Ovis aries: one gene and its partners. The main gene of each other region encodes a partner of the protein of the gene in region 3 in a complex. Links are inferred from orthologs where the notes say so. Each region holds a gene or a part of one and is shown on either strand. Other genes may lie near its edges. The genes, in order: SMARCE1, SMARCD1, ACTL6B, DPF1, SMARCD2, DPF3 and SMARCC1.

Region 1 (4,231 bases), on a different chromosome or scaffold from region 3:
CTCTAATCATGAACATGAAAATATTGGAGGTGGAAGAACTGGACAGAGGGTCACTTGTCCCTGGCTTTGCATACTTCTGGAGATACCCTAGTCCCTGCTGGCACACCCAGGATGGTGGCTAAGGGTAGCTGAAGAATCAAGTCATTCTAAACGTCAACACCATTCTCAAGTGATTTCAGATCCTTCCCCTCTCTGCAGTGGCGCACGTCGGTCAAGTGTTTATGTATCCAAGGAGAGGCTGCTATCTAGTACATCAACGTGGTCATGATTTAGTGAAAAGAGTCCTGGACTAGACCATAGCCTGCCTCAATATAGATTTACTGAGCTTCTTACAATGGTTCAAGGCCTTACTGGGCACTGGCTATAGGAAGATGACCAATGCAGACCGCTGAATTTTTGCTTTCAAGGCTCTCATAGAGTACTGAGAATAACAAACACAGTCTGATACAATGTATTAGGTAAAGGCCATAATTGTTAATTTGGGAGGAGGAGGGGCGCGTGAGGCAGGGAGTTCCCGGAGGGCATCAGGGACAGAATTTGAGCTGGATCCGGAAGGACAGATGAGTTTAAACCCAAAAGTGAAGGACTGTCGTTCCTGGCAGAGGAAACCGAATGAGCCAAGGCGCTTTAGGACACAGACCCCTTGCCCAGCGCTGCAGGGACACACAACCGGGGGCAAGGAGATTTACATCTCCGGGCCTTGGCTCAGAAACCTGTGACAATTACACCAGCCTTGCGCTTGGGAACAGCTGGGAAGATCTGCGCTGCTTTCGCCAAAGCTCTTGCCCGCGGTTAAGGCAGGAAGCCCTGGGAGGCGCGCAGGAGGACGGAAACTGTAAACCCGGCTCTCCACGCCTCCATCCTCGGCTTGGTGAAGTATATACACTCCAGCTCCCAGAGAAAGAGTCAAGAAAAAGACCGGAAGGGAAAAAAAACCCAGAAACTCTCGGGGGCAGGGACGGGGGGCGTGCGCGGCCTGAGCCCGGCCGGGGTGGTGCGCGGGCCGCGCGGCCACAGAGGTTCCGGGGCTGGCGACCGGGCGCGCTCCCCGCCGCCTTCCGGCCCCGCGCGGGGAAGCTGAGGCCGCGCTCGCGCCCCCCCTCGGCTCAGCCTCGCGCCTCCCGCCGCGCCTCCCGTCCCCGCTCCGGCTCGCTGGGGGCCGCGCGGCCGGGCCTACCCGCGGCCGGGCCACCTCCTCCCTCTCCGGAGTGACGAATCGGCGCCCGGCTGGCAAAGTACTGACTTTCGGGGAGTTTTGAGGAGCGTATGGAGCCTGAAAAAAATCCTTGACTGTGCTAAACACCACCGCGTCCCCACGAGAACGCTTATTTTCCTGAAGAGAGTCGGGTGGGGCCTGGAAAGGAATTAAGAAGAGTGTTGAAAGTGCGAGCGCGGAAGCTCGGGACGCGAGGGGCGGGGCGTGCGCGGGACAAAGGGAAGCGAGGCCGGAGCTGCGGGCGCTTCTTCTGCCCGCGGGTGAGTGTTTCCGACTGGGCCCGGCTGGGTCGGGAGGGTGGAGAGGCGTGGGGTCCCGGCTTGGCTGGGGTTGCTGAGGGTTGCTGGGGTTCAGGCTTGGCCGCGGGACCAGGGCCGGGGGCCGGCTGCGGCCTCTTTGAGGCCTAGCGGAGCGAGGGTGGGGAGAGAGTCCCATCTGGGGCTCCTCTTGGGCGGCCAGAAGTGCCCCTTCCACTAACCCCACGGAAGTGGTCAAGGCGCTTCTGCATGCTCCTCTTCAGTAGAGTAGCTGGTAAAGTGCACCTACACATCAAACCAAACCGAATCGGTCTCAGAGGAAGCCCTTGGGGCAAGCTAAGCCCGTGGTCCTCACCCCCAGGAAGATGGTTTCCCCTTGCCCAGGCAGCGATCTGAGGACTCACGGTGTGGCTTGGAGTGAAAAGCGAAAGCTGGGCAACAGTTTGGCCTGGGTTTGAAACCCAGCTCTGACACTTCCTGACTCTGTGTCTTGAGCCAAGTTACTTATACTGAACGAGACTCCTTTTTTCCCTCTGTAAAATGGCAATAGCAGTACACACCTCGTTGGTAGTGTGACTGTTAAACCAGATGGTGTGAAAGTAGTAAGCCTGTCCCGTATAAGGTATTCAACAAATAACTTCTCCAGGATTTTATGCCAGGCACCGGAGATGCATACAGTGGTGGACAATTGTACGAGATCACTCTTGAAATTTATGGTATAGCAAAAGAGACCAGTAATTTTAGAGTGTTAATAAAATGTGACACACCTGGGAGCTTGTGGCAGATATTATCAGGGCCCCCCACAGCAAGGCCTACTGGATGTTGACAGCCCACCCAAGCTTGAGCAGGAAGGAAATCTGCATTAGACTCTGGTGTCCTGCATGTACCTTAAGGAGAGAGGGAGACCCAGGTTGGGCCATTGAGAAAATAAATGATTTCTTTCTTTCCACACCAGGCCTCTTACTCATAATGCTCCAGAAATGCCCTTAAAATACAAAACAGGAGCAAAAAAAAAATCATGTTTGTTTCTCATAATGTCGGATGAAAATACTCTAGTAGTCATAGAAGTTATTTGCCTTTTTTGTGAAAATGAATGTTCATCTCTTTGTACACATGGTGTGTAATGTATAGTGAGGTAAGGAACAAGTTCACGTGTGTGTGGTCATGTCCTGAGCTAGTGTTACTAGGACTGAAGTTGGTAAAAATTGAGCTAGGTACTGGGACAGCAATAATGAACTAGCTGGTCCCTGTCTCCATTCAGCCCCCATATTAGCAGGTGTAATATGATATTGATCTGTGTAAATTGGAGTACAAATGAGGAAACATTTAATTTTGTACAGATAGGTCCAGAAGTCTCCATTGAGGAGATATATTTTGAGTTGAGCTAAGAAAGATCAATAAGAGTTTTTTCCAGTAGACTCTCGAAATTTATTCCCAGCGGTTATGAAGCTGTTTACCATCATGTTGTTTTTTAGTGGCTCAGTTGTGTCTGACTCTTGCGACCCCATGGACTATAGGGTACCAGGCTCCTCTCTCCATGGGATTCCCCAAGGGAGAATACTGGAGTGGGTTCCCATTTCCTTCTCCAGGAGATCTTCCCAACCCCGGGATTGAACTCAAGTCTTCTGCGTTGGCAGGCGGGTTCTTTTACCGCTGAGCCACCAGGGAAGCTCCATTACTCCTATAAGAGAATGTGAAGTTTCTTGTCACACCAGTTACCTTTTCCACTGCCTTCAGGAGTAAAATGCTGTTTTACTAGAAAGAAGTTGTTATCCTAAAAGGAAGGCAGAGCTGTGGCTGGTCATGGAGCTGTCAGTGTCTGGTAGGCCTTGTTGAGGTAGGCCCCAATAATACATCATATTCTTTTGTCATTGTATTTTTACCGATTTGATTAAATGTTTACATGGCATCAGCGAAACGTTTTCCATACAAGAGGTGGCTCAGTATCAAAAAAAAACAAAAACTTGCAAGTACATGTCTAATTTTACTTTTTAATATCCCCTGTCATTTGTTTTAGTCATTTAATTCTGATCAACTGAGTGACCTAAAGAACTAGTAAAATATTTAAAAGGCTTGATTACTAGAAGATAATGTAATTTTACAAAGAAATATCAAACTACCCTATTCTTTAGAAAAACATTCTCTTATGCTTGCTGAGTTTTGATTATCTTTATTTTTCTTTTTTTTTCCTTTTTTTTATTTTAGTGTCTCAGATTCATTCTTAAGGAACTGAGAACTTAATCTTCCAAAATGTCAAGTAAGTTTCATTTTTTATATTTATCAATCTATATTAATAAGAGACTAATGCCCTAGCAAATGGGAATTCCAAAATACTCTCATTTTTTTTTCTTCAAAACAGGACCATTGGTAGTTTTGTTGCATAGTATTATATCTCAGTTGTTTACAAGAAGTTATTTATTTTCTTTCAAACAGAAAGACCATCTTATGCCCCACCTCCCACCCCAGCTCCTGCAACAGTAAGTTTTAATTTTCTTGTTAATGTAATAGCCAAGTCTGGCCTTGATACAAAAACCCAGATGTCTTCCAGTGACAGTCACTCAATCATTACAGCAACAGGATGAAAAATTCAGCTAAAAAACAGCACTTCCTACTAAATAAAATAACTCTGCATCTTACCTTGAACCAACCCCAACATTTAAAGAAACATACTACTGAAATGCCAACCTCCTATGCTCAGTTCTTTTTTTAATTAGAAATAAGTGGCAAGTTTAACACTTTTCTTGTTCATCTCTATTAA
Region 2 (4,096 bases), on a different chromosome or scaffold from region 3:
ACTGCGTTCACACTGGCCTGCCTGTGAACAGCTAAAAATAGAGAGCCAGAGAGTATAAGGGAATGGCAGGTGAGCGTCTCCAAGGAGCTTCTGGGGTGGGAAGTTGGAAGCTATCACCTGGCAGCTGATGTTCCCCATGAAAAAACAAAGAGCCAGGCACAGAAATCAATCCCACATAAACTGCGAGCTGTTTCCAATAGGAGCTGGGAAGATGGAGAGGCCACAGCAGAAATCAAGGACCTCAAGGACTCAGGGAAGAGAGCATGGCCCAAATGTTAAGTGCAAATTCACTTGGTTTACAAGAAAAAAAATAACTGAAAAATCTGCAGATACTGCCAAATCCAATGGCTAGCAGCATCAGGAGAGAGGTAAACAACAAATCAAATCCCAGCACAATAAGGTTCTCGATGTGATACCACAGAGAGGGCCAAGCTGTGGGAGCCAGACACAAAGAACCATTGTCTGTTAGTGCAGAGAACACAGTGACCCTCTCCCTGCTGTTCCCAACAGGAGCTGTAAGCACCAGTCAGGCTTCCTGCCAACCAGACAATACTGCTTGTTCCCAGAAGCTCCCACCCCGGACACCGACCACGGTGGACCTTGAACTCACATCCTCCAGGAGCCGTCCTTCTACCCGAAGTTCCCAGGAAGCCACCGTCCCTTCCCCATCCTCAGCATCTGACTTAGCCGGATTGAAAGTGTTAGAAATGAAAATTCGCAGCTTCCGTTTTTGCTGAGGAAGGCAGAAACAGGATTGACAGTGGGGCCTCAGTGGTTTGATGTTGAAGACAAGGGTCCCCCCAAACCCGACAATGACTCCTAACAGACTGGCTTACTGTCTACCCAGTCCCTGGGGTGGCTGGATGCAGATTCCAATGAGAAGAGGAGCACAGGCCACGGGCCTCAGTGCAAATGCATTCACCGGGATGCCAAGTAGACAGTCATGCAAGATGCCAGGTTCCCAAGGTGGCAGAGCAGTTACGGCAAAAACACCAACAGGGTATATTTCTGGTGCAAGAACTATCAAAAGCCCCTTCCCCTTTGCTGTTCTGTTCTTACGCTTCTCAGTTTGTAGGCAGAAGAGATGTAATTTAAATGCCAAGGAAAGCTGTGCTATGCCTTTGATTTCTCATCCTAAGCCTGCTGAAGGTTCCCGAGTCCTCTCCTTTGGCTCTCTGCCTAGTACTCTCTTGTGTTACCTTGATGGGACGTTTCAAGGCCTCCTGGATATCTAGCCGTTTCCTCATGATAGTCTGGTCCAGTTTCCTTTCAAAAGCCAAGAGATCCATATAGGCCTGGGATTCTGGTACCAGTTCACGAATCTTAGGGAACAGAAAGATATCATTGGGATCTAAGGCTGACCATCTCTACTCTCCAACTCACCACAACCTCAAGAAGGTCTATACCCTGGACTCACCCTTTGAGGTAGAATTTTGTCAGCCATCTTCTTTTTTTTTGCACTGTTTGGAATAAATACTGTTATCAGGTTGGGATGGAACTAGCCAGAACATGAAGACAGGCTGTCAGCACCTCCATTTATAGTAAAGTGAAGAAACTGCAAAGCTTGTCTCAAATCAAAGACACCCCCGCCCCTAACAAACACGAAGCAATTATTTCAAGAATGAGTACCGCCTGCTGACACGGCACTGCGCTTCTCTGCTCAGGCACCCCAGCACCTGCGTCCTCTCAGGCCTCCTCCCTCCCTCCCTCCACCCTGGGATCATCTTACTTGTGGTTCCGATTTTGGACCGCCTGCTGCTGGACCTGCTGGATCTGCTGAGGCGCAGGTCTCTTGCGGGACTGGTCCATCCCTGACTGGGCCAGGCCAGGTCGGACTGAAGGGTTCCCCCCATAGCCAGGGGGTCCCATGGAAGGTCCCTGAGGTGTCATTCGGCTGCCTGGTAGCATACCTGGTCTCTACAGAGGGGAGAGGACCTAGAGATGTCATGGCTTCCCCTGCAAATCCCACCAAGAAAGGGAAAGTGGGGGAGGCCTGAGTTCTTTGAATGAAACAAGGCAGGAAGGTGGGGTGGAGCACAATGGTGGGGTGGGAGGAGAGCCCTCTACCTCTCTGATATCCAAGTAATTGGAACTTCCACTGCTCCAGCTCTGACTCCACGGGAGAATATAGGCCCAAAGCAAAGACAGCCAGACTATACTCAAATCGCCCCCCTCCCCCGGTCTATTTTGTATCTGGCACACTGGACATCTCTTCTAGTCCCATATTTACTCAGAGAGTACTGTCAGGCACTATCTCCTCAGAAGCTGACCTCAATTTGCCAGCTACACCTTCTGTGTTCCTGGGCACTGGACCTGCCTAGTCCATTTGCACTCAAGGTCTCACAGGCCCACGTCTGGCCTCACTTCGTCCACCCTGGTTTTACATCCTGACTCCCCAAGAAAACAATGCCTCTAGGAGCAGGTGGGGATGCTAACAGCCTCCCTTCCCTTCCCCGCAGCGTCTCCCCCGACCCCAACTCGGCGCCCGAATCCCTCCCAGGCGCGTCCCTCCTCCTCCTCCCCCCACCCCTGTCACTCCCAGGCCCCCGCTCGGCCCCGCCCCCGGCCCGCGCCCCTCCTCCTGCCCCACTCACCGGATAGGCCGCTCCAGGCATCGGGGAGCGGTATAGCCCTTGACCCGGCGCCGGGCCCATTCGCACCGGAGGCCCCGGTGTCCCGCCCGGGCCCAGGGCAGCCGCCGCACCCGCCCCTCCTGAGGCGCCGGCGCCGCCGCTCGGAGCCACAGACTGGAAACCCGCCCGGGCCGCCATCTTTCCCGGAGCCGCTGCTGCAGCTGCACAAAGAACCGGAACCGGAACTCCCCCCGCCCCCCCCCCGCGCGCCCCCCGTGCGCCCTCCTGTCCGCCCGGCCGGCCCGCCGGCACGGGAGGCTCAGGGCAGCGAGACTGTGGGCTAGAGGGGAGCAACTAGCGGAAAAGGCGTGTGACCACTCCCTCCAGCTTTCATGATCCGGGAGGGAAAACCATCGAGAAGAGCTCTGGGACAGAGAGGCCATGCGAAAGGGCGCCCCCAGGCCGACGGAGGGAGACAAGGACCTGGAAAGGGGGACTACTGCACCATCCCTGCGCGAGGGTGATGGAGTAAATGCTTCATCTTGGCGCAGTGCGTTTTTCCTTTCCTTCTCTTCCTGCTCTAAGCCCAGCACACTGAAGAGAACGCACTGTTTATTCCATTTTACAAGCAGGCGAGGTGAACTCAGTAAATGACTTGGTGAAGTCAACCAAGTTAGTAGTAAAGTCGAAACCTATAATGCAGATCTTCCGGTTCATAGTCCGGGGCTCATTCCATAAAGTGCCTCAATAACTACAGGAACTTCAGCCCAGCTTTCCCCCTGACTTTTAACCTAAACTGCTACCAGATTTTAAGTTTATTTCGAAGTGTGACCCTTCCTCCTCGCCAAAGAATCCTTTCTGCTAGGACTTCTTTTGGGGATCTTTGTTGCCTTTGACCTCTTCCTCTTTCCCTGCCCAGTGGTTCAAACCATTCCTGGTGTGATGTCAGCCTGTCCCATCCCAGGAGGACCAGAGCACCCCTGCTCCCGCCTCCTTACTCCTCCCCTGATTGTGTGGCCCCAAGCCAAGCTCAGCTCTAGACACTTAGTGGGAAGGCCTAAATACTATTCAAATAAGAGAAGAACGACACTGAAGAGGAGATGGTTAAAACCCAGTTTATTAGACCAGAGGCATGCGTCACCCATAGCCCTGCCTGCTGTTCCCCATCCACTGCACACCCTTTGGCCTTGCTCCTGCTTCCCTCTGGAGAGGTTTGATCTCTAAGGAACTCCTGGGAACCAAGAGTTGCCAAAGATCCTATGGCCTCACTCTCCAGCTCCAGGCCAATGCACAGATGACCTGCCACAGGTCTTGTTCTGGGGTTGGAGGCTGAGAGGCAGCTGGACAGAGAAGGCCTGGGAAGGGGCAGGGCTCTGGCCTGGGAGGAGTGCCTGATGGAAGGGGCATGGCAGGTCCTCTATCTCGCTGGTTTCTCAGTAAGGGAGGAAAGGAGGAACAGAATAGCAGAGCTTTCAACGTCCCCTCTAGGCCTGTCTCTTTCGTTCCACTATCAAACGGTACCT
Region 3 (3,500 bases):
ACCTTTCTCCACAGGGCCTGTCGGGGAACACCATGTTAGGGGTGGGCCACGTGGTGACCACCAGCATCGGCATGTGCGACATTGACATTCGTCCGGTGAGGCCCAAGCCTGCCTCTGGGTGGAGGGGTCCAGGAGAAGTGGGGGCGTGGGTGCCAGGGCGGGGCTGTGCCCTGATCGCTCACTCTTCCTCCCTGCTCTCAGGGCCTCTACGGCAGTGTCATTGTCACCGGTGGGAACACGCTCCTGCAGGGCTTCACTGACAGGCTCAATCGAGAGCTTTCCCAGAAGACTCCACCGGTAGGAGCCCACCCTCGGCCAGGGCCCTGGGCCAGCCCCTCAGCACCAAGTCCTTCCTCCTTCCCACACATTGAGCCAGTATTCTGGCCACCAAAGCGGCTCCTTCCCGCTATGGCCTCGCCACTCCGAGCCCTGTCCCTTCCCACTTCCCAGAACCAGGTGTCTGCTTCCCCTAGCCCTTCTTTCTTCCCAGAGCATGAGGCTGAAGCTCATCGCCAGCAACAGCACCATGGAGCGCAAGTTCAGCCCCTGGATTGGGGGCTCCATCCTGGCCTCACTGGTGAGAGAGGAGGGCCCTGGCCTAGTGCTGAATGTGGGGTAGATCCAGACCGCCCCACCACCTTGCCTACCACCTCATTCGCTCATTGTTTATGAAAGGGCAGTCAGTGCTCCCAGAAAGGTGAATGCGATCTCAGGACACAAAGCAGGGAGTGGAGGACAGGAAGCTGGACAGGTTGGCTAGGATGAGATTGTGGTAGTCTGTGTGCCAGGGTGAGCCCCTAGAGGTTTGGGGCAAGGGGATCTGATGGCCACAGGCATGACTGGGAAGGTTATGTCCGACATGAGACTTTGGGGATGGGGGTATGAGCTGAATTCAAGGGGACCTTGGCGGGAGGCTCTTTCTATTGTCCTAGAGTCACGGGATGGGTAGCAGTGGGCATAGGGTGGTGAGCAAGGGACAAACCGAAGGCAGCAGTCAGGGTGGTTCTGTGGTGGTAGGTGGGGAATTCAGTCTGGAGCAGCTGCTGGGGCAGGGGCAAGACGTTGAGCAGAGAGGTAAAGATGCAGACTGCATCTGATGAGTGTCAGCTACACAGAGGGGGACAGCAGGGTCATGACAGGACAAGGATGATATCAGCTAGAGGCGGTGCCCCCAAAGGGACAGAAGCAAGGGTCAGAGTGACAGAAGACTGACCCCCCGAAGATAGCTCAGGGTTGCGAAAGTGTCAGTTGCACAGTCGTGGCAAGCCTCCTGCACGCCTGGACAGACAGCCCGACCTCATCCCTGCCTTCGTGCATGGGGACAGTCTGGAAGCCAAGACAGTCAAAGAGGAGGTCACCACAAAGTGTGGGGTGTTCCTTCAAAGGAAGACCTGATCTCATTCAGGCATCAGGAGGGGCCTCTAAGGAACCTTCAGGCTGAGATGGAAGAGTGAGAACTCAGGAGGCAAAGCAGGAGAGCGTGTGTGGCCCCAGGGGAGAGCCAGGCAAGGCCACAGGCAGGGGGTAGGTGCTGTGGGGCCAGAGTTGAGGAAGCTCACCTGGGCTTCCCTGGTGGCACAGATGGCAAAGAATCTGCCTGCAATGCGGGAGACCTAGGTTTGATCCCTGTGTTGGTAAGATCCCCTGGTGGAGAGCGTGGCAACCCATTCAAGTATTCTTGTCTGGAGAATCCCCGTGGACAGGGGAGCCTGGAAGGCTACAGTCCATGGAGTCACACAGAGTCAGACACGACTCAGCGACTAAGCACACAAGCTGGGCTACAGAGCAGAGAGTGGGCTGGAGAGGGCTACCGCGGTCTCCACTGTGACCCGGGGTCGCCAGCAGAGTGGATGTAGGGGAGAGAGGGTTGGGAGCTTATCAGAGGTCTGACTGAGAATGTGGGCACCGTTTGGATACGAGAGGTAAGAAGGAAAGGGGTCAAGGATGAGACCCAGGTAAAGAATCTGCCTGCAGTGCAGGAGACCCGGATTCGGTCCCTGGGTTGGGAAGATCCCCTGGAGAAGGAAATGGCGCCCCACTCCAGTATCCTTGCCTGGACAATCTCATGGACAGAGGAGCCTGGTGGGCTGCAGTCCATGGGTTTGCAAAGAGTCGGACATGATAGAGCGCCTAACACACTTACTTATTCAAAGTACTATCAGTACGTCAATTAGTATAAAATGTGAGACGTTTCACATCCTCTGGATTTATTTTCAATATCCAGTGCAGATTTGACACCGAGAGCACATTTCATCTTGGATTAGCTGCATTTCACGTGCTCGATAGCTCCATTTCAAGTGTTCCACGTGGCAAGGGGCCACTGGATTTGGACAGGGCAACTGTAGAAGGCGAGAAAGACCAAAGAAGCAGGTTTGAGGCAGGGCTGGGCGAAGATGGTGACAGCAGTCATGGATATGTTGACTGAGTGAGGTTCCAGGAGACACTGAGGACCAGGAAGCTGTCTGAAAGACAGTTGAGAATTTGGGTCGGGAACTCGGCAGGGAGCTCTGCATTGGAAACTGGAGATGATGGGAAGGGTGGGGCTTTGGCACAGTAAGCAGAAGTCAAGGGAGAGGTGACATGGTCCAGGAAGGTGTGTCCAGAAACAGGGACACACACACTGACTTTCAGGCAGACGCAAGTGATCATAGAGATGGCACAGTCTAAAGTGCCAGGGCTGGCGGACCCTATTTCAACAGGGGGTGGGGGGGTGGGGTGGGGTGCCAAAATAAAGACATCATCCCCACCTTGATGTTAGGTGGTGTCAGAATGGTGAGGAGGGTGGAGGAAAGATTTTTCTTGGGAAGGAGGGAGACTTGGCATGTAAGGCCTGATGGAGTGACGGGGTATCTGGTGGAGAGGGGATATGGAGTGTTGCAGCGCAGGTTCGCTGGCCTGCGGCTGGAAGGTCCACCTCCCAGCTCGAACCGCCCTGGGCTCCGAACTGACAGGTGCTCAGTAAATACTCAGTGAATGCATCGTTGATTGAACGGTATGAAGCGGGTATCCGCCTTCTGAATACGAAGGAGGGGACAGGGAGATGGGGCAAGTTGGTGGTTGCGGGGGGGTGGGGGGATGTGGGCTTGGGAGGGGGAAGATTCCGAACCTCCACGGGTGGAGCATAGGGAACCTGCTCTCCCTCCCTCCTGGCCTCCCTGACCGCCCTCCCGCCCCACCCACCCAGGGCACTTTCCAGCAAATGTGGATCTCCAAGCAGGAATATGAGGAGGGCGGGAAACAGTGCGTGGAGCGGAAGTGCCCCTGAGGGCGCCCCCTCCCCACCCACAGGCCGGCCCGCAGCGGTGGGGGAGGGAAAGCGAACGGAAGAAGACGGTTTCCCCCACCTCGGCTCTGCAAGCGCAGGATCGACAGCCACCCTCCTAACGTTCCCATCGGCCCCCTTTTGTTCTCCTCCCCACTTGTCCTCTTGATTGTGAAGTTTCTGGGTTAAAGGGAGTAAACATGTTTTAAGAAAAAAAAAAAAAGTTTGGCCTCTTTGG
Region 4 (3,500 bases), on a different chromosome or scaffold from region 3:
AGGGGGGTGATAGATGACTCCCTCCCTCCCTGCCTCCCTTCCTCCCTTCTCTGCTGAGCTTCGGCCAAGGGGCAGGGGCCGTGGCCTGGGAACCCTTGGCATCCGCCCATGCCAATCCAGTGCCAACCTTGACAGCTGAGGGACGGGGGAAGGCTTGGGGAGAGGCTCTGCCAGTGGAGGAACCATCCTCCCACCCATTCCTCGGTGGGAGAGAGCAGTCTCTTCATCCCACCCCTACTACACACCCAGGCACCTCTGTGTTCAGAATTTTCCTTCTGAGTGTCTGTTTCCATACCAGATCGTGGCCAGTGGCCTCTACCTAATTTTCATTTAGTTGGGGCTTCGTTGGGGGTGGCTGTCTGGCAGAAGTGCGTACGGGCAGGGGAAGCAGGGGGCTTGTACCTGCCAAGTTTTTACCTAGTAAAGAGGACCTGTCAGTCGTTTTCAGAGAGTTGCAAGGTCCTGATGAGAATTACCTGGGCTCCCTGCAACTCTCTTTTGCTGCTGGATGCAGCTTAGGGTAGCGGCTCCCTCTCCTCACCTCCTCCATGCCTGGACAAGGGGTCCACCCCTGGGGCCGAGGCCGTGGGCAGGGTGGAGCCTTGCCTGTGGTGAGAGCCCCTCTCTCTGTCCCCCTACCCCCAGAGTTTTACAAAGAATTGGCCTGGGTCCCTGAGTCACAGAGGAAACACACAGGTAGGGACGCCTCCCTCTGCCCCTACTTCTGTAGCAGCCTTGGACTGAGGGTCCCTTCCTGCCCCCGCCAACCCCTGCCTGCTGTCTTTCAGCCAAGAAGGCGCCTGACGGCACTGTCATCCCTAACGGCTACTGCGACTTCTGCCTGGGGGGCTCCAAGAAGACAGGGTGTCCTGAGGACCTCATCTCCTGTGCTGACTGTGGGCGATCAGGTGATGCCCCCCACCTGAGGCTTCTGGGGGCTGGGGTGGAGAGACTCCAGATCTGGAGGGCAGGAAGCAGAGGAGAGAGAATTGGGGGGATGCAGAGCATCCTGGTGGATGCAGAGCTGACTCAACTGCTGAGGACTGTGGGGAGCTCAGTGGGGTCAGGGAGGCTCTGGGAACAATGGAACGCGGTTGTCATGACATTGTGGGCACCGGCAGGTGCCTGTCTGGCATGCGGAACAGTGAAAGATGGCTGCCAAAACACCAGGGGGTAGTGGGCTGTGATAGCGAGTAACGGATTGCCACTGCCTGGATGCTGTGGACAACAGAGGGCGCTTGCCGTGGAGTTGTGGTTAATAGAATGTGGTTTCCCAAGGTGGACTTGTGGGTAAGAGACTGTGGTTGCTCAGCACGGTGGCTAATGAATTGTGGTTGTCATGGTATTAAGGGTAGTGAAATACGGTTGTCATGGCGATTGGGTGTCCTGGTGGCCTGGGGTCGTGGCTGTGGGTCTGCGCTCGGGTGGTGGGACAACCAGAAGGTTGACACGCTCCACAGTCACGTTGGTAACGTTGTGGTTGCTGTGGCGTTGTGTGTAATGGCCTTGGGCTGCAGGGAACCAGGGTGTGGGGACCCCTCTGTGGAAGGCGGTTGCCATGGCATCGTGGCTGGGAGACTGTGGTTGCCACGTTCTGCGGTTAAGGGAACGGGTTGGCCACTCTGCTGTGGCTAATGGAATGTGGCTGTCTCAGCACAGCGGTTCACAGAACGTGGCTGCCCCGGTGTTGTGGGTGGTAGAAAGTGGTTGCCACAGCACCCTGGGTAATGGAATGCGGTTGCCATGGTGTTCTGGGGAGCAGAGTGTGGTTGCCATGGTGGCCGGGTAGGAGACTGGTGGCCAGGGCGGCGCTGCCTGCAGAACGGGCGCGGGGCACCGTGGGCTGGGCGGGGTCAGGCCTTGTGAGCCAGGGGGTGGGGGCTGAGCCCCCAGGGGCTTCCCCAGGGTCAGCAGCCACCAGGGGCGCCACAGCCCCTAACCGCATCCCTGCCCCTCGGCCCCCAGGACACCCCTCGTGTTTACAGTTCACGGTGAACATGACGGCAGCCGTGCGCACCTACCGCTGGCAATGCATCGAGTGCAAGTCCTGCAGCCTGTGCGGCACCTCGGAAAACGACGTGAGTACCCGTCCGCTCCTCCCCGGGACCTGCCCGCGCAGCCTCCCCGCCTGGCACCGCCCCCTCCGCCAGCTGGGCCTAAGCCTTTCCCTGGAGCGCCCTCCCTCGTGAACACCAGTTAACCTGTATTATTATTATTGTTAGTGGCCATTAATTGAACCCGGCACTTAACACTCTTCACTCTCTGAGTGCTCCCAACCGCCCTGAGGTAGGTGCTCTTGTTCCCACTTCACAGAGAAGACACCGCGCTCAGAGAGGGGAATACACTTGCCCGAGGTCACCCAGCTAGGGACGTGGTTCTGCTGGGACCTGAACCCATGGCTTCCAGACCATCTCAGTGTCCCACAGAATCCTATAAAACCCAAACTACAAACCACAAACTGATGGTCCTCAAGGGCGTTTCGTGTGGCCCAGCAGGGTTTTGCAAAGATGACCTTCTCAGAGCCCTTTGTGTCTTGCAAGAAGACACCTCCACCAGCCCCTTTGACCTGGCCCCTGCCCCCGCCCCCCACCCCGGTTTCTGGTGCCCGTGCCCCCAGGGTGCCAGCTGGGCGGGTCTCACCCCCCAGGACCAGCTGCTGTTTTGTGACGACTGCGATCGGGGTTACCACATGTACTGCCTGAGTCCTCCCATGGCAGAGCCCCCGGAAGGTGAGAGAGAGGAGGGTCTGACATGGGGGTGGGGGTGGGGGCAGCCCTGCCCAAACCTGACCCAACTCCCTGTCCTCTGCCCGCCCCACAGGGAGCTGGAGTTGTCACCTCTGTCTTCGGCACCTGAAAGAGAAGGCGTCTGCCTACATCACCCTCACCTAGGCCTGGCTCTGGCTCGCCCGGACCTCTGGGGTGATGCCTGCCTACCTGCCTCTCCTCTCAGAGCTCCTCCACTCTCTCCCCATCCTTAATGCCCCACAGTGGGAGGGGTGGGGGGAGCCAGGGAGGGGGCTGGGCCACCCCCTCCCCTCTGTGCAAGTGGAATGTTTGCCCTGTGGGTTGGTGGGCCCAGCAGGGTCCTCTCCCTTCCTCCCTCCTTCCTCACCCCCTTGGCAAATGGGTACCAGGGCCTTCTGCTCCCCTCAAAGCCATACCCCGCCTCTAGGTGGGCACGAGGGGTGGTGGATGCCGGCTGGGGGCATGGACAAAGCCTTTTTCTAAAGAAAAAGTCAAAAACTTAAAAAAAAAAAAAGAAAGAAATTAATATATAACAAAGAGTCCTATAAGGTCTGGCTGGGTGGAGGGGGCACTGCTGAGCGCATCTACTGGGCACCAGTCTAGCCAGCGTCCTGCCTGGCGGCCCCTCCCCCCAGCCCCTGGAGTTGCAGCTGTCCCACCTCCCCACCCAAGACGGGCACCATCCCCTCCTTGTGCCCTGGGCCGGTGGGGGGGGGGGATGTGGTGTCCACCCCTCACCCCCTCTCGGTGCCC
Region 5 (3,373 bases), on a different chromosome or scaffold from region 3:
CCCGGGGGATCAACCTGAGAAAAATTGCTGAGCTCATGCCGGGAGCGTCAGGGGCTGAAGTGAAGGTAACAGGAGTGCCCAAGGGAAAGGGGGCAGAGGCAGGAAGCACTGGGTTCAGGGCACAGCGGCATCTCCCCCTTCTTTCCCTGCTCAGGGCGTGTGCACCGAGGCTGGCATGTATGCACTGCGGGAGCGCCGAGTGCACGTCACGCAGGAGGACTTCGAGATGGCAGTAGCTAAGGTACAGGGCCACGCCTTTCTGCCTTTGCTGGTGGTGACTCGAGCAGTGGGGTCGGGCACGTGTTCACTGGGTCTCTAACTCAAATGTTCTCTCTCCAGGTCATGCAAAAGGACAGTGAGAAAAACATGTCCATCAAGAAACTATGGAAGTGAGGCAGACGTCCTTTGTGTGGATCCCTCAAATAAAGCTCTACCGGTCAGGACCTTGAGGACTCGAGTCTGTTAATCAGCAGCTGCACTGTTCAATCACCAGGTCTAGGTACCACCAATAAACAAAGATTTATTTGGAAATTTCCAAACCTGCCAGAAGTGGCGTTTGCCAAGCCCTCGGCCCACCCTCCTTAACAGGCTCCAAAGAGCAACAATAGTCCTCCCCATCTCCCACTGCCCTCCACCGAGCACACACACACCCACGCCTCAGGCCACGCCAGAGAATTAGGGTGCCCTCTCCCTAGGAGGCGTTACCCTGGGCCCAAGAACTGGGGTGACAGCCCTCTGGCATCGCAGGAGATGATGGCGGCCAGAGCCGCTTGCATAGATTGAGAAAAGAAAATAAGGGACCCCCCAAGTAGGGCTCCCTGAAAACCCCCAACACACCCCCATAAAAAAAGTGGCTCCCGCATAGAAAATCCTGCTCCACAAATAGTGCAAATAACCCGAAGGAAAGGAAATTACCAGCAGCAAGGCTGGGCTGGTAGGAATGGCAAAGAACTTTGGTTTGGAAAGGCTAGGAAGAAAGGGAGCCATGCTCCTCTTCCTCACCCCGCTCCCTGGAGCCAGCGTGGACACTCGCCCCAAGGGGGTCTGTAAACAAGCAAAGCCAGGGGCCTCTGGTTCCAAAAGGTCTCGGTTAAAATGTCAAAGCAGAGCCTCCAGGTCCTTCTCAGGCCTGCCTGCAGGGGGCACAGGAGGCCTCTCGTGAACCCAGTTAAAGCCAATGTGTAAGTAAGAAGGCTTTGGAGGACCAAGCAACAAGGAATCCTATCACTACACTTAAGAAACTAAAGCCGGGGAGCCGAGGGTAACTGGAGATGCCCCTCACCCCCTCGTTATCCTACGTGTCTGCGCCCCAGAGGGTGGTCCCCTTCCAGGCTGAGGGCGTGGCTCCAGGCTGGGAAGAAAGGAAGGGGTCCCTGAGCAGTTAGGTCAGGCGGATTCCCAGCACCTGTTCCAGTTCCTGCCTTCGCTGCTGCACCTGGAGCAGGGACAGACCAGCGGCTCAGGCCCGGCTGCCCACCCTGCCCTCCGGTATGCCCTCCAGGCCAGCCAGGGCAGAGCCGCCTCACCTTGGCAAAGATGTGCCTCCCTACTGCTTCCTGGGCCCAGGGCTGGTGGTAGAAAGCTGCTCGTCTCTCCTCCTCCGGGTTCCCAGTCACATCAGTGATGATCTGTAGAGCACCAGGAGCAGAGCTGAACGCAATTCCCACCCCTGAGCCAGAAGAACGGTGCTGGGGACAGAACCCCCAGAGCTTAACGTGGGATCACCCTCAGGAAAAAGGGGCACACCTTGAGGTCCCGGCGCTGGGAACGGAGCCACTCCTGGATGAAGTCCTGGGGGTCAGTGCTAAAACTGAGCATGAAATCCCTCTGGGTCTTCAGCTGGTTGATGGACTCAATAGTCTCGTGGATCTGGGCAAAGGGGTACGTGTCAGACTGGCTCCCACCCCGACAAGGTCTGCTTCCAGCCCCAACCCGAAAGGACTCAGGTCCCATCCCAAGGTGCTATATAAATGGAAATGCCCGACACCTGCCCATGCTCACTGGGGGCCCAGAGGAGGTTGGGGCCCACCTTGACATCAAGGGAGGCGATCTCCTGCTGATTGGTGGTAGAGGCCAGAAAATTGCTCATCTGGGCCTTGAGCGGGTCATCCACCTCCACGTCAATGTCGTAACAGGCTGTCTTCTTCTGGTCGTTAGGGTCCACGCTACACGGCACACGGGAGAGAGCTACTTCCCTCCCGCCCGCCCGGGGCAAGACCACACACACCCAGGGAGCAAGAAACCAAACGTGCTGCTTTGCTTTGGCTTTAATTGAAGTCAAAGGCAAACCCCTGAGAGCAGCGTTCCTCCCCCTTCCCGTTTACCTGATGACGTGGTTGATGACAATCGGGTCTGGATGCTGCAGCAACCCTGCCAGCTTCATGGGAATCTCAGAGAAACGTAGTCGGCCACAGCTGAAGATCTGGGGAGGGCGCCAGAGGGTCGGTGACGCCCTGGTGGGCACATGGGGAAGTGGCCCGTCCCGGGGCGGTGTGGCGCCACAGGCAAGGCGGGCGGGGGCTGGAAGGGGAGGGGGCGGTGTGCCCGCTTACCTGGCGGAAGTAGCGGTTGCAGTTGATGTACTCGCGCTCGTGGCCGTCCTGCAGCTGGTTGTGTTTGATGTAGAGCCACAGGGCCTGCATGATGGCAGCCCTCGTCTGCGTGTGCACCCCCAGCAGCCTCGCCAGGCGGGGGTCCAGCTTGTACTGTGGGGGCTGGCATGGACAGACGGGAGTCAGAGGAGGGAAAAAAAAACCCAAAGCAGGCTAGGGCAGGGACAGGAAGGGTTTCCAATGGGCACCTGCCCCCGCCCCAGATGACAGTCCCCGTGAGCCCAGACGTGGCCTCAGGGCACTCGTCACCTGATGATCCAGCATGAGCAGGAGGGTGCACTTGACGTTCAGGTCTCCAGGCCGTTTCACCTGGAAGCCGTCTGTCTCCTGGGTGGTGGGCATCCGGTGCCACTGGCAGGAGGAAGGGGAGTCAAGCTCATCACCAAAGGGGCGGGCAACATACGCACCTGGCCCTGCAAGGGGACTGAGGCCATTCCTCTGCCCGCCGGGCACGGCACCCTGTGGTCCCAAGCCCCAGGCCCGCTCTCACCTCTACCAGGTGGTTGTCTGGCCCATACAGTTCCTTGTCCAGCTCGATGACGAGGCTCTTAAAGAAGGAAGAAAACTTCCGCTTCTGTTTACTAGGCTGGGGATGTAAAGGGGGTGAGACAGGGGTGCCATTGAAGGTTCAAGCCTAAGCCACATACTAAGCCCCGAACAGAGGAATATTGTTTCAGTCCTAAAGCTCAGGGTACTGAGGATTCTCAGGCCCTGAAAGAAGCAGGGAAAAGTGAGACCTGAGGCACAGAAAGGGTCCCTAG
Region 6 (3,500 bases), on a different chromosome or scaffold from region 3:
ACACGTGTTTATGCACGTATATGTATTGTTCTATGCAATCTTAGCACATACATAACTACCACTGCAATCAAGGTTCAGAACTGCTTCACCATCCAAAGTTTCCCTCTTGCGGAAAGAATGCTCTTTTAAAACCAAAAAAGGGGATATATGTAAACGTATAGCTGATTCACTTTGCTGTACAGCAAAAACTAACACAACCCTGTAAAACAGCAATACGCCAATAAAATTTTTTAAAAAATGAAAAACCTATTAGAAAAATGCACAGAGTAATCTAGTCACTGCCTTGCCCACAAGGCTTTAATGATTTTAAAGCCCCATATCCTTAATGAGGGGCATAACGTGCCCGGGTAGTCTGACTCTAGCTCGTCTCTGGGTGCTTCTCACCCACCTCCCCTCCTGCTTTGCTTGCGAGCCTCTGCCTACTGGCTTTTACCTTCCTTTGAGTTTGCCCACTTCCTCCACGGCTCAGTGCCTTGCCCCTCCATGCACCATCCTCCACACACGGAATCCTCTCCCTCACCCATCCAGCTAATCTCCTCATCTGCCAGGTGTCAACTCCAAGATCTTTCTCAGAGAAGGTTTCCTTGACATCTCAGACTAGATACTAACCTCCTGTGATTTTTCATTGCCAATTATGATTTTCCTTCATGGTACTTATCACACAGCTGTAAGTAAATAGGTATGTGTGTAGTTTATTAATTTGAGTTCTCTCTGACCAGACTAGAGGGATCTGGAGGTAGGGGTGTGTGTGGTCTTGCTCACCAGTGTATCTTTTCTGTCTGGGACCATGACTGCTCTAGCAGATGTCCAATAAATCCTTGTTCATGAACAGTTACTATAAGCTGGCTGGGTGTGGCTGGGTGTACACTGGGGCTGTGAAACTGGGCAACGACAACCTGCTAATCTAGGTATCTGCTCCATGAATTAATCATCAAAGTTCCTGGGTGTCCTGCCTAAGAACATGGGCATCTCTGGCGCAGACCACTCAGAATCTCAAGCTGGTGTATTCTCTCCTATTCCCATCCCACTACTCTGTGTGAGAGAGCAGGGTAGGGAACAACTCTGGCCAGCATCCTTAGATATTTGAGATGCCATCAGGAATATCAGCTGGATGTTCATCCAAGCTTTTAATGTAAGATCTCTCTCTCTCCCTTGGGTCACTGGTATGGTGTTGCTTTGAGAAAGTTATCGGTTCAGGGCCATGGGGGTTTCTACCTTGGATGGCCTCTGAGAAGTCCTAGAAAAGCTTTTAGTCTCCTCCTGTCCTCAATGCTCCCACCTGCTGTTTGCAAAGTGTCCCCAGCTCCCCTCAACATGAGTCCCCACTCTCACTCTCAGAGATAGCTCGGTGTGGTGTGCATTGCTGGGGCCCCAGATCTGAAGGGTTTGTCTGTTGACTGAATGGACAGAATGTCCCCCAAAGGACCATGATGGAACCAGCTTTGCAAGGATATGGAAAAGAGGAAATGGGGGCCTCCTGCTGAGTTGTGACTTTGCCAAGGAGTGGTGGTACCATGTGGATCTTGACTCTTTGTGGAGGACACTGGGTTGGTAGAACTGCCTCTAATTGGAGGCCCATCTATACTCTTCTCCTTTGGAAGCTCACAATCCCTCATGTGATAGAGGCCAAGCAGTGCATGATATGGTGGATTTGGTGGAGTTGGAAGCCCTGGAGAAGGGTGAACCCTCAGCAACAGGCAAAACTGTCCATTCTTTGGTGACGGTGTCAGTAACAGGCTTCACCCTGAGTGCTCTGCCTTCTGACTCATAGCCCTGAGTGACCTGGGGACCTCGTCCAAGTTTCCCGTCCCTGTCAGACAGAAGGTCAAAGGCGTCACATTCTGTGGCTCACAGCTGTTCTCTCGCTGCTGGCCTCTGTCTTTTGGGTGAGCTGTAACTGAGGGTAGAGCCCAGCCCTGCAGGCCAGGCCTCTGGTGTTGGACCACTGGGGCTGGGTGCTGTAAGGTCACATTAATGTCCCTCCCTGCTCTTGCTATTGGCTTGGCTAACATGATATTTGGGATGAAGAGAAGAGCTCAGGACAGACCTGGACATCCTTGCAATGATGCTCTACTTCTCCAGCCTCCCTCCTGTTCCTGTGCAGGGTGTGGACTTCTGCTGGTCCCCTGGTCTTGGGCACGGAGGGACACTTTAGGTGGCAGTGCAGAGCCTTCCAGTGCCCCTGAGCTCTGTCCCTGGGAGCCTCACACGCTCTCTCTGGTCTCTTCCCCTGTGCCCTGAGGCAGCATGAACAACTTTGCAGATCAGAAGGATCAACTCTAAATAGCTCTTATGTTGCTCCCACCACCGCTGATGCTGGGGAGATGCTGTTGCTGACTCTCATCGCGTCGCCTTGTGCTGTGTGACTTCCTTTCTCATTCTCTCTGATCACCACTTTCTGTCCTCATCAACTGGTTACACTTCTGAGGGGACGTGGCTCTTAGGACAGAGGACTTGGATGACATCTCTCCCCAGCAAAGGGTTAATCCTCATGCCTCTCTTTGGGCATTGATCTGCTGTAACTGTGGGTGGTGGTGAAGAGGGCGGGTAGGGCCCCATCCAGGCCCCCAGTTTGCTTCCTAACACATGCTACCCCACCCTCCCTCCAAGTGAGGCATAGCGTTGTGTCGAGGGGGTGACAGGTCAGACCCTCTGGCCTTAATGCTGCCATTTCTGCCTCCTCCAGGTCACCCCACCTGCCTGCAGTTCACCCTGAACATGACCGAGGCTGTCAAGACCTACAAGTGGCAGTGCATAGAATGCAAGTCCTGCATCCTCTGTGGGACCTCGGAGAATGATGTGAGTGTGGGCTTCCCAAGTGGGAGGAGAAATCCAAGGAGCTGGGAGTCCTTTGAGGATGGAGAGGAAGGTGGGATTCTCATCCCTGGACTCCTGGGGAAAATATGCATCAGGACCCTTCCCCCCTTGACTTTTGCCTTGAGGACCCTTGGGACCCTTGTGCTACAATGACCTTGGCTACTCTTTGTGTCTTTAGAAACAGGTGCAGGGGGTAATGGCCAGAGACTGCCTTGCTGGCCTCCAGCCCTCAAGGGGTCGGTGGTAGACAGTGGTGCCCATCGCTTACTGTTGGGATGTGCTTGGCTTTTTACACCACATTCTGGAATGTGTCATCTCATTTGGTCTAAATATTAAGCATAATGAATGCAAAATTTAAAAAAAACACCTTTTTATGGAAAATTTCAAACATATACAAAGATAGAGAAAATAATGAGACTTGTGTACCCCATCATCAGCTTCAACAATGATCAGTACATGTCCAATCTTGTAAATGTTGCCACCTCTTTTGCATGAAATTATAATCCTAGTCATAATATCATTTCACCTGACACTATTCCATACATATCTCAAAAAGATAAGGACTACTTTTTAAAAGATAGTGAATATATTTTTTACAATTTGAAAACATATAAGGATTTACTTTTTAACAAAAATAACCAAAATATTAACATAGATTTAAGAAATCAATAATTCCATAATAT
Region 7 (3,500 bases), on a different chromosome or scaffold from region 3:
ACCTTAGTACTCTGACTCTCCCTCCACAGGTCAGATACCAGGCCCAGGTTCCATGATGCCTGGGCAGCCCATGCCAGGCCGCATGATGCCCACCGTTGCAGCCAGCATCCACCCCCCTGGGAGTGGCCCCACCCCTCCTGGTATGCCTCCAATCCCAGGAAACATCTTAGGACCCCGGGTACCCCTCACGGCACCTAACGGCATGTGTAAGTACCCAGGTGGGGGGAGGCACTACCCTCGGGACTTTTGGGGAGAGCTGTACACAAGGGAGGCAAGCACCGTTTGTTCCCTCTGGGGTGTGACAGATCCCTGGACAGGATGGCCTGTGAGGGGCGCTTCTGAAACCTGGGCTTTGGTCATTGCGCTTCAGCATCCCTGGTGGACAGGTACCCAGGTGGTGAGCACAGAGTGCTCCCAGTTAGTCAGGAGCCTTCCATAGCCTTCGTGGATGCATTCGTGACACCAAGGGCTCTGGCAAGGCCAAGGGCACACCTCACCCATGCCTGTTTGAGGCTATCTAATTTGAATCTGAGTCGATACACAGAACTACTGGTAGTTATTTTCTGTACAGGAGCCTTTTATGGATTCAGGATTTAAAAGAGGTAAGTGTAAAGAAAAGAATAGAGTCTGGTTTAGGGCAAGAATAATAATAAGTTTTTGTCCAATATATTGGTAGTGGCTGCTTAGACTTAGAAAAGAGTATTCAGGGCTGTGTTGAGAAGGAGTTTGAAGTCTTAGCGGGCTCCATCGAGCGGGCACATATGCTGATGAACAGTGTCTGTGGCAGTGTGCAAAACCAGCTCGGTTTTGCCATGGAACCCTTGTTCTGCTCCAACCCTGGCCTCCAAAGGGGTGCATCAGAGCCTGGCCTGCCCTCTTACCCTGTGGACCATGGTAATGATTCCAAAATGCAGCTGACAGTGGCCATGTACCCCGCCACATCTGTGATCCCAGGTCCTTTTAGAGGAGGACCTGGGTTCTCATGAGGTGGAGTCAGCCCCTGTTTGTTTATAGTAATACAGCTTATAATAAAATGATAATGTATTTATAATACAAAAACATAAAGTAATAATAATGAATTTATAATACAATACAGAGAGCTAGGATGCAGAGGTATTCCTGGCCTCCAGGAGCTTTAGTTGGGAAAATAAAACATGAACAAATGGATAGTAGTGTAGGATTTACCGTAAGTTACACAAGGCTATTGAGTGGCTTGAGCTCACTATAGTTCTCTGGGAGACTTCCTAGGGCCAGGAGACAAGTGCCATCAACACAGGTGCATCTCCTTTCTCATTGGACTCCTAGGAACAAGGACAGATTTAGGTGCACAGAAGAAAGACAGCACTTGAGCCAGGTCAGTACAGGATCATTGTTGAGAAACGAGGGACTTCCTTGGTGGTCCAGTGGCTAATACTGCGCTCCCAGTGCACGGGGCCCGGGTTTGATCCCTGGTCAGGGAACTAGATCCCACATGCTGCAACTAATGATCCTGCATGCAACTAATGCATGATCCTGCAGCTAATGATCCGGTACAACCAAATAAATAAAAAAAACTTTTTTTTTTAAGCGATCTTTGTTGTTACATCAAGGATCAGAGATCATAGTCTAGTGCGTACCTCTTTTCCTAGCCTTGCTGCCCCACAGGCAGTGTAAAAATGTGCTGGCTGACTGGGAGGGTTGACCACGCTGCCATCCCCGTTGCAAACATAATATCATTGGTCTTTACCACTGTCCTGTCCTGCTGATAACACCTGATTTGTATACATGATTCCATCCTGAAGGGCCCTCAGTGCAGTACCTTGAGGGTGTGGAATGTTTGGGGTGCTCCCCATCACTTCCTGCCCCAGATGAATTTCAGGGATCCTGAGCTGCTGATTTGGCTTCAGGGCATTGGGCAGGCCTCATCAGGCAAGTCACTTCCCTCTTCAGGCCTTACTTTGCTCCCCTGAAAGGTGACACTAGGGAGTAAATCGGTGGGCTTCAAAACGCTTTGAAGAGCCTTAGCAATTGGGTGGACACCTCCTGAGGGGAAGGTTGGATGAATTAGCTGGTAAGCAAGGAGGTGCTTTAATTGTTTAATTCGTTTTCATCCCTGGCAAAATCTTGAAGTTTTTAAAACCCTGGATTGAAGTATCTCTATGGTTGCTTTGTACACTAAAGCAGTCAAAGTAGAAATAGGAAAGAGCTCCTTTCCTAATTGTTCCCTTCAGGACCTGACCTAGTTTTGGCCAAAAATTTAAAGACTACAGTTCAGGAGTTGCGGGGCCTCTCCAGGCTATCCAGCTTGTTGGCCGCTGCCTCAAGTCAATCTCTGTGACCCTGGTGGAGACAGTTCATAAAAGCCAGCAGTTTCTGATAGGCAGTTTCGTCCCCAGCTAGGCTAGGCACTCTGAGAGAACGCAAAGAAGACACAGAACTTGTCCAGGAAGGAGCTTATCATTTAACTGAAGAGAGAGAATTAGCAGTGAGAACCATTAAGATAATGATAAAATCAAAATATAATTAAGTTCTGCAAAGGTCTGGAGGGATTGAGAGTGGGGCGGACTCAGACACCTCCGCACCCCCGAGCCGCGTGGGTCAGGGGAGCCACACAGGTGGTGACGTGGAGGTTCAGGTGGACCGCCCCATGTAGCCCTCAGCAGCAGCCGTGCCTCACAGGCCATAAAGAAACTTCCTTTATAAGTCCTGTTTCTCTGCATGGGCTCTTGCCCAGGCCCCTTGTGTTTCCGGCAATGACAAGTTCCTTTTGGATGTGTTTGCAGATCCCCCTCCGCCGCAGCAGCAGCCACCACCTCCAGCACCTGCGGACGGAGGCCCTCCACCTCCCGCTCCTGGCCCACCAGCCTCAGCTGCACCGTAGCCCGAAAGACACAGGGGACGTCCGCGCCCAGTGCCCCCAGCTGGAGTGGGGATGACAAGACTTGTGTTCCTCCGCTTCCTTGGGTTTCTTTCAGGAGTTTTCTTCTCACAGCCCCAAGCACGCACCCTGACTTTTCCCCATTCCTCTTGCCACCCCTCTCCGTGCTCTGACACCTGCTGTGTTAGTCCTCCTCCAGCACTCAAGGGGAAGCCACTGCTGCCAGTGTGCCCTGGTCGCCCTGAAATACCTGGCGTCTCCCTGACCCGCTGTGGGGTATGCTGACAGTGTGTCTGCAGGTCCTGTCAACGTTAGTGGTCTATGTCTGTATCATTTTTTGCTCTCCTGCAGTTTTGTTCTGTTTTTGCTTTGTCTTATGCTTATATGGATAATGCTTTATAATCATTATCACTTTTCTTTTTTTTTCCTTTTGGTCATTATTGCTTTAAAGGAGAGCATCCTAAGTTAATAGGAACCAAAAAATATTGATGGGCAGAGGGGATAGCCAGAGGGGACAAACCTTAAGGCATTGTAAGTGACCTTATTTCTGCTTATCTGAGCTAAGAATGGTGCTGATGGTGAAGTTTCATGAGACTTTTGCCACACATGGACGCACCAAAATTTAAAGAGATGGGGAAAAGTG

What was found.
Region 1: ACTL6B (region 3) and SMARCE1 share a complex: the UniProt entries of both Homo sapiens proteins name them as parts of the BAF complex. The link is inferred for Ovis aries from reciprocal best matches to the Homo sapiens genes ACTL6B and SMARCE1.
Region 2: ACTL6B (region 3) and SMARCD1 share a complex: the UniProt entries of both Homo sapiens proteins name them as parts of the BAF complex. The link is inferred for Ovis aries from reciprocal best matches to the Homo sapiens genes ACTL6B and SMARCD1.
Region 4: ACTL6B (region 3) and DPF1 share a complex: the UniProt entries of both Homo sapiens proteins name them as parts of the neuron-specific chromatin remodeling complex. The link is inferred for Ovis aries from reciprocal best matches to the Homo sapiens genes ACTL6B and DPF1.
Region 5: ACTL6B (region 3) and SMARCD2 share a complex: the UniProt entries of both Homo sapiens proteins name them as parts of the BAF complex. The link is inferred for Ovis aries from reciprocal best matches to the Homo sapiens genes ACTL6B and SMARCD2.
Region 6: ACTL6B (region 3) and DPF3 share a complex: the UniProt entries of both Homo sapiens proteins name them as parts of the BAF complex. The link is inferred for Ovis aries from reciprocal best matches to the Homo sapiens genes ACTL6B and DPF3.
Region 7: ACTL6B (region 3) and SMARCC1 share a complex: the UniProt entries of both Homo sapiens proteins name them as parts of the BAF complex. The link is inferred for Ovis aries from reciprocal best matches to the Homo sapiens genes ACTL6B and SMARCC1.

The regions. Positions count from the first base shown.
Region 1 is NC_056064.1:40,602,566-40,606,796, reverse strand, and holds the start of SMARCE1 (SWI/SNF-related matrix-associated actin-dependent regulator of chromatin subfamily E member 1), read left to right. Parts: upstream 1-1,431; 5' UTR 1,432-1,476; intron 1,477-3,678; 5' UTR 3,679-3,723; coding exon 3,724-3,730; intron 3,731-3,906; coding exon 3,907-3,950; intron 3,951-4,231. UniProt on the Homo sapiens protein: Involved in transcriptional activation and repression of select genes by chromatin remodeling (alteration of DNA-nucleosome topology).
Region 2 is NC_056056.1:136,225,193-136,229,288, forward strand, and holds the start of SMARCD1 (SWI/SNF-related matrix-associated actin-dependent regulator of chromatin subfamily D member 1), read right to left. Parts: upstream 2,801-4,096; 5' UTR 2,772-2,800; coding exon 2,595-2,771; intron 1,918-2,594; coding exon 1,730-1,917; intron 1,477-1,729; coding exon of another isoform or gene 1,461-1,476; coding exon 1,418-1,460; intron 1,323-1,417; coding exon 1,200-1,322; intron 734-1,199; coding exon 611-733; intron 1-610. UniProt on the Homo sapiens protein: Involved in transcriptional activation and repression of select genes by chromatin remodeling (alteration of DNA-nucleosome topology).
Region 3 is NC_056077.1:36,361,508-36,365,007, forward strand, and holds the end of ACTL6B (actin-like protein 6B), read left to right. Parts: intron 1-14; coding exon 15-95; intron 96-201; coding exon 202-297; intron 298-490; coding exon 491-577; intron 578-2,190; exon of another isoform or gene 2,191-2,462; intron 2,463-3,184; coding exon of another isoform or gene 3,185-3,265; exon of another isoform or gene 3,266-3,288; coding exon 3,289-3,384; 3' UTR 3,385-3,398; downstream 3,399-3,500. UniProt on the Homo sapiens protein: Involved in transcriptional activation and repression of select genes by chromatin remodeling (alteration of DNA-nucleosome topology).
Region 4 is NC_056067.1:47,406,009-47,409,508, reverse strand, and holds part of DPF1 (zinc finger protein neuro-d4), read left to right. Parts: intron 1-645; coding exon 646-696; intron 697-788; coding exon 789-908; intron 909-1,965; coding exon 1,966-2,078; intron 2,079-2,617; coding exon 2,618-2,729; intron 2,730-2,820; coding exon 2,821-2,891; 3' UTR 2,892-3,500. UniProt on the Homo sapiens protein: May have an important role in developing neurons by participating in regulation of cell survival, possibly as a neurospecific transcription factor. Belongs to the neuron-specific chromatin remodeling complex (nBAF complex).
Region 5 is NC_056064.1:47,807,701-47,811,073, forward strand, and holds the end of SMARCD2 (SWI/SNF-related matrix-associated actin-dependent regulator of chromatin subfamily D member 2), read right to left. Parts: intron 3,199-3,373; coding exon 3,103-3,198; intron 2,964-3,102; coding exon 2,862-2,963; intron 2,715-2,861; coding exon 2,553-2,714; intron 2,423-2,552; coding exon 2,325-2,422; intron 2,166-2,324; coding exon 2,030-2,165; intron 1,870-2,029; coding exon 1,747-1,869; intron 1,629-1,746; coding exon 1,527-1,628; intron 1,436-1,526; coding exon 1,382-1,435; 3' UTR 501-1,381; downstream 1-500. Other genes in the region: PSMC5 (26S proteasome regulatory subunit 8), read left to right, coding at 1-65, 155-241, 340-393. UniProt on the Homo sapiens protein: Involved in transcriptional activation and repression of select genes by chromatin remodeling (alteration of DNA-nucleosome topology).
Region 6 is NC_056060.1:82,222,667-82,226,166, reverse strand, and holds part of DPF3 (zinc finger protein DPF3), read left to right. Parts: intron 1-2,686; coding exon 2,687-2,970; 3' UTR 2,971-3,500. UniProt on the Homo sapiens protein: Belongs to the neuron-specific chromatin remodeling complex (nBAF complex).
Region 7 is NC_056072.1:52,090,186-52,093,685, forward strand, and holds part of SMARCC1 (SWI/SNF complex subunit SMARCC1), read left to right. Parts: intron 1-29; coding exon 30-206; intron 207-2,762; coding exon 2,763-2,860; 3' UTR 2,861-3,500. UniProt on the Homo sapiens protein: Involved in transcriptional activation and repression of select genes by chromatin remodeling (alteration of DNA-nucleosome topology).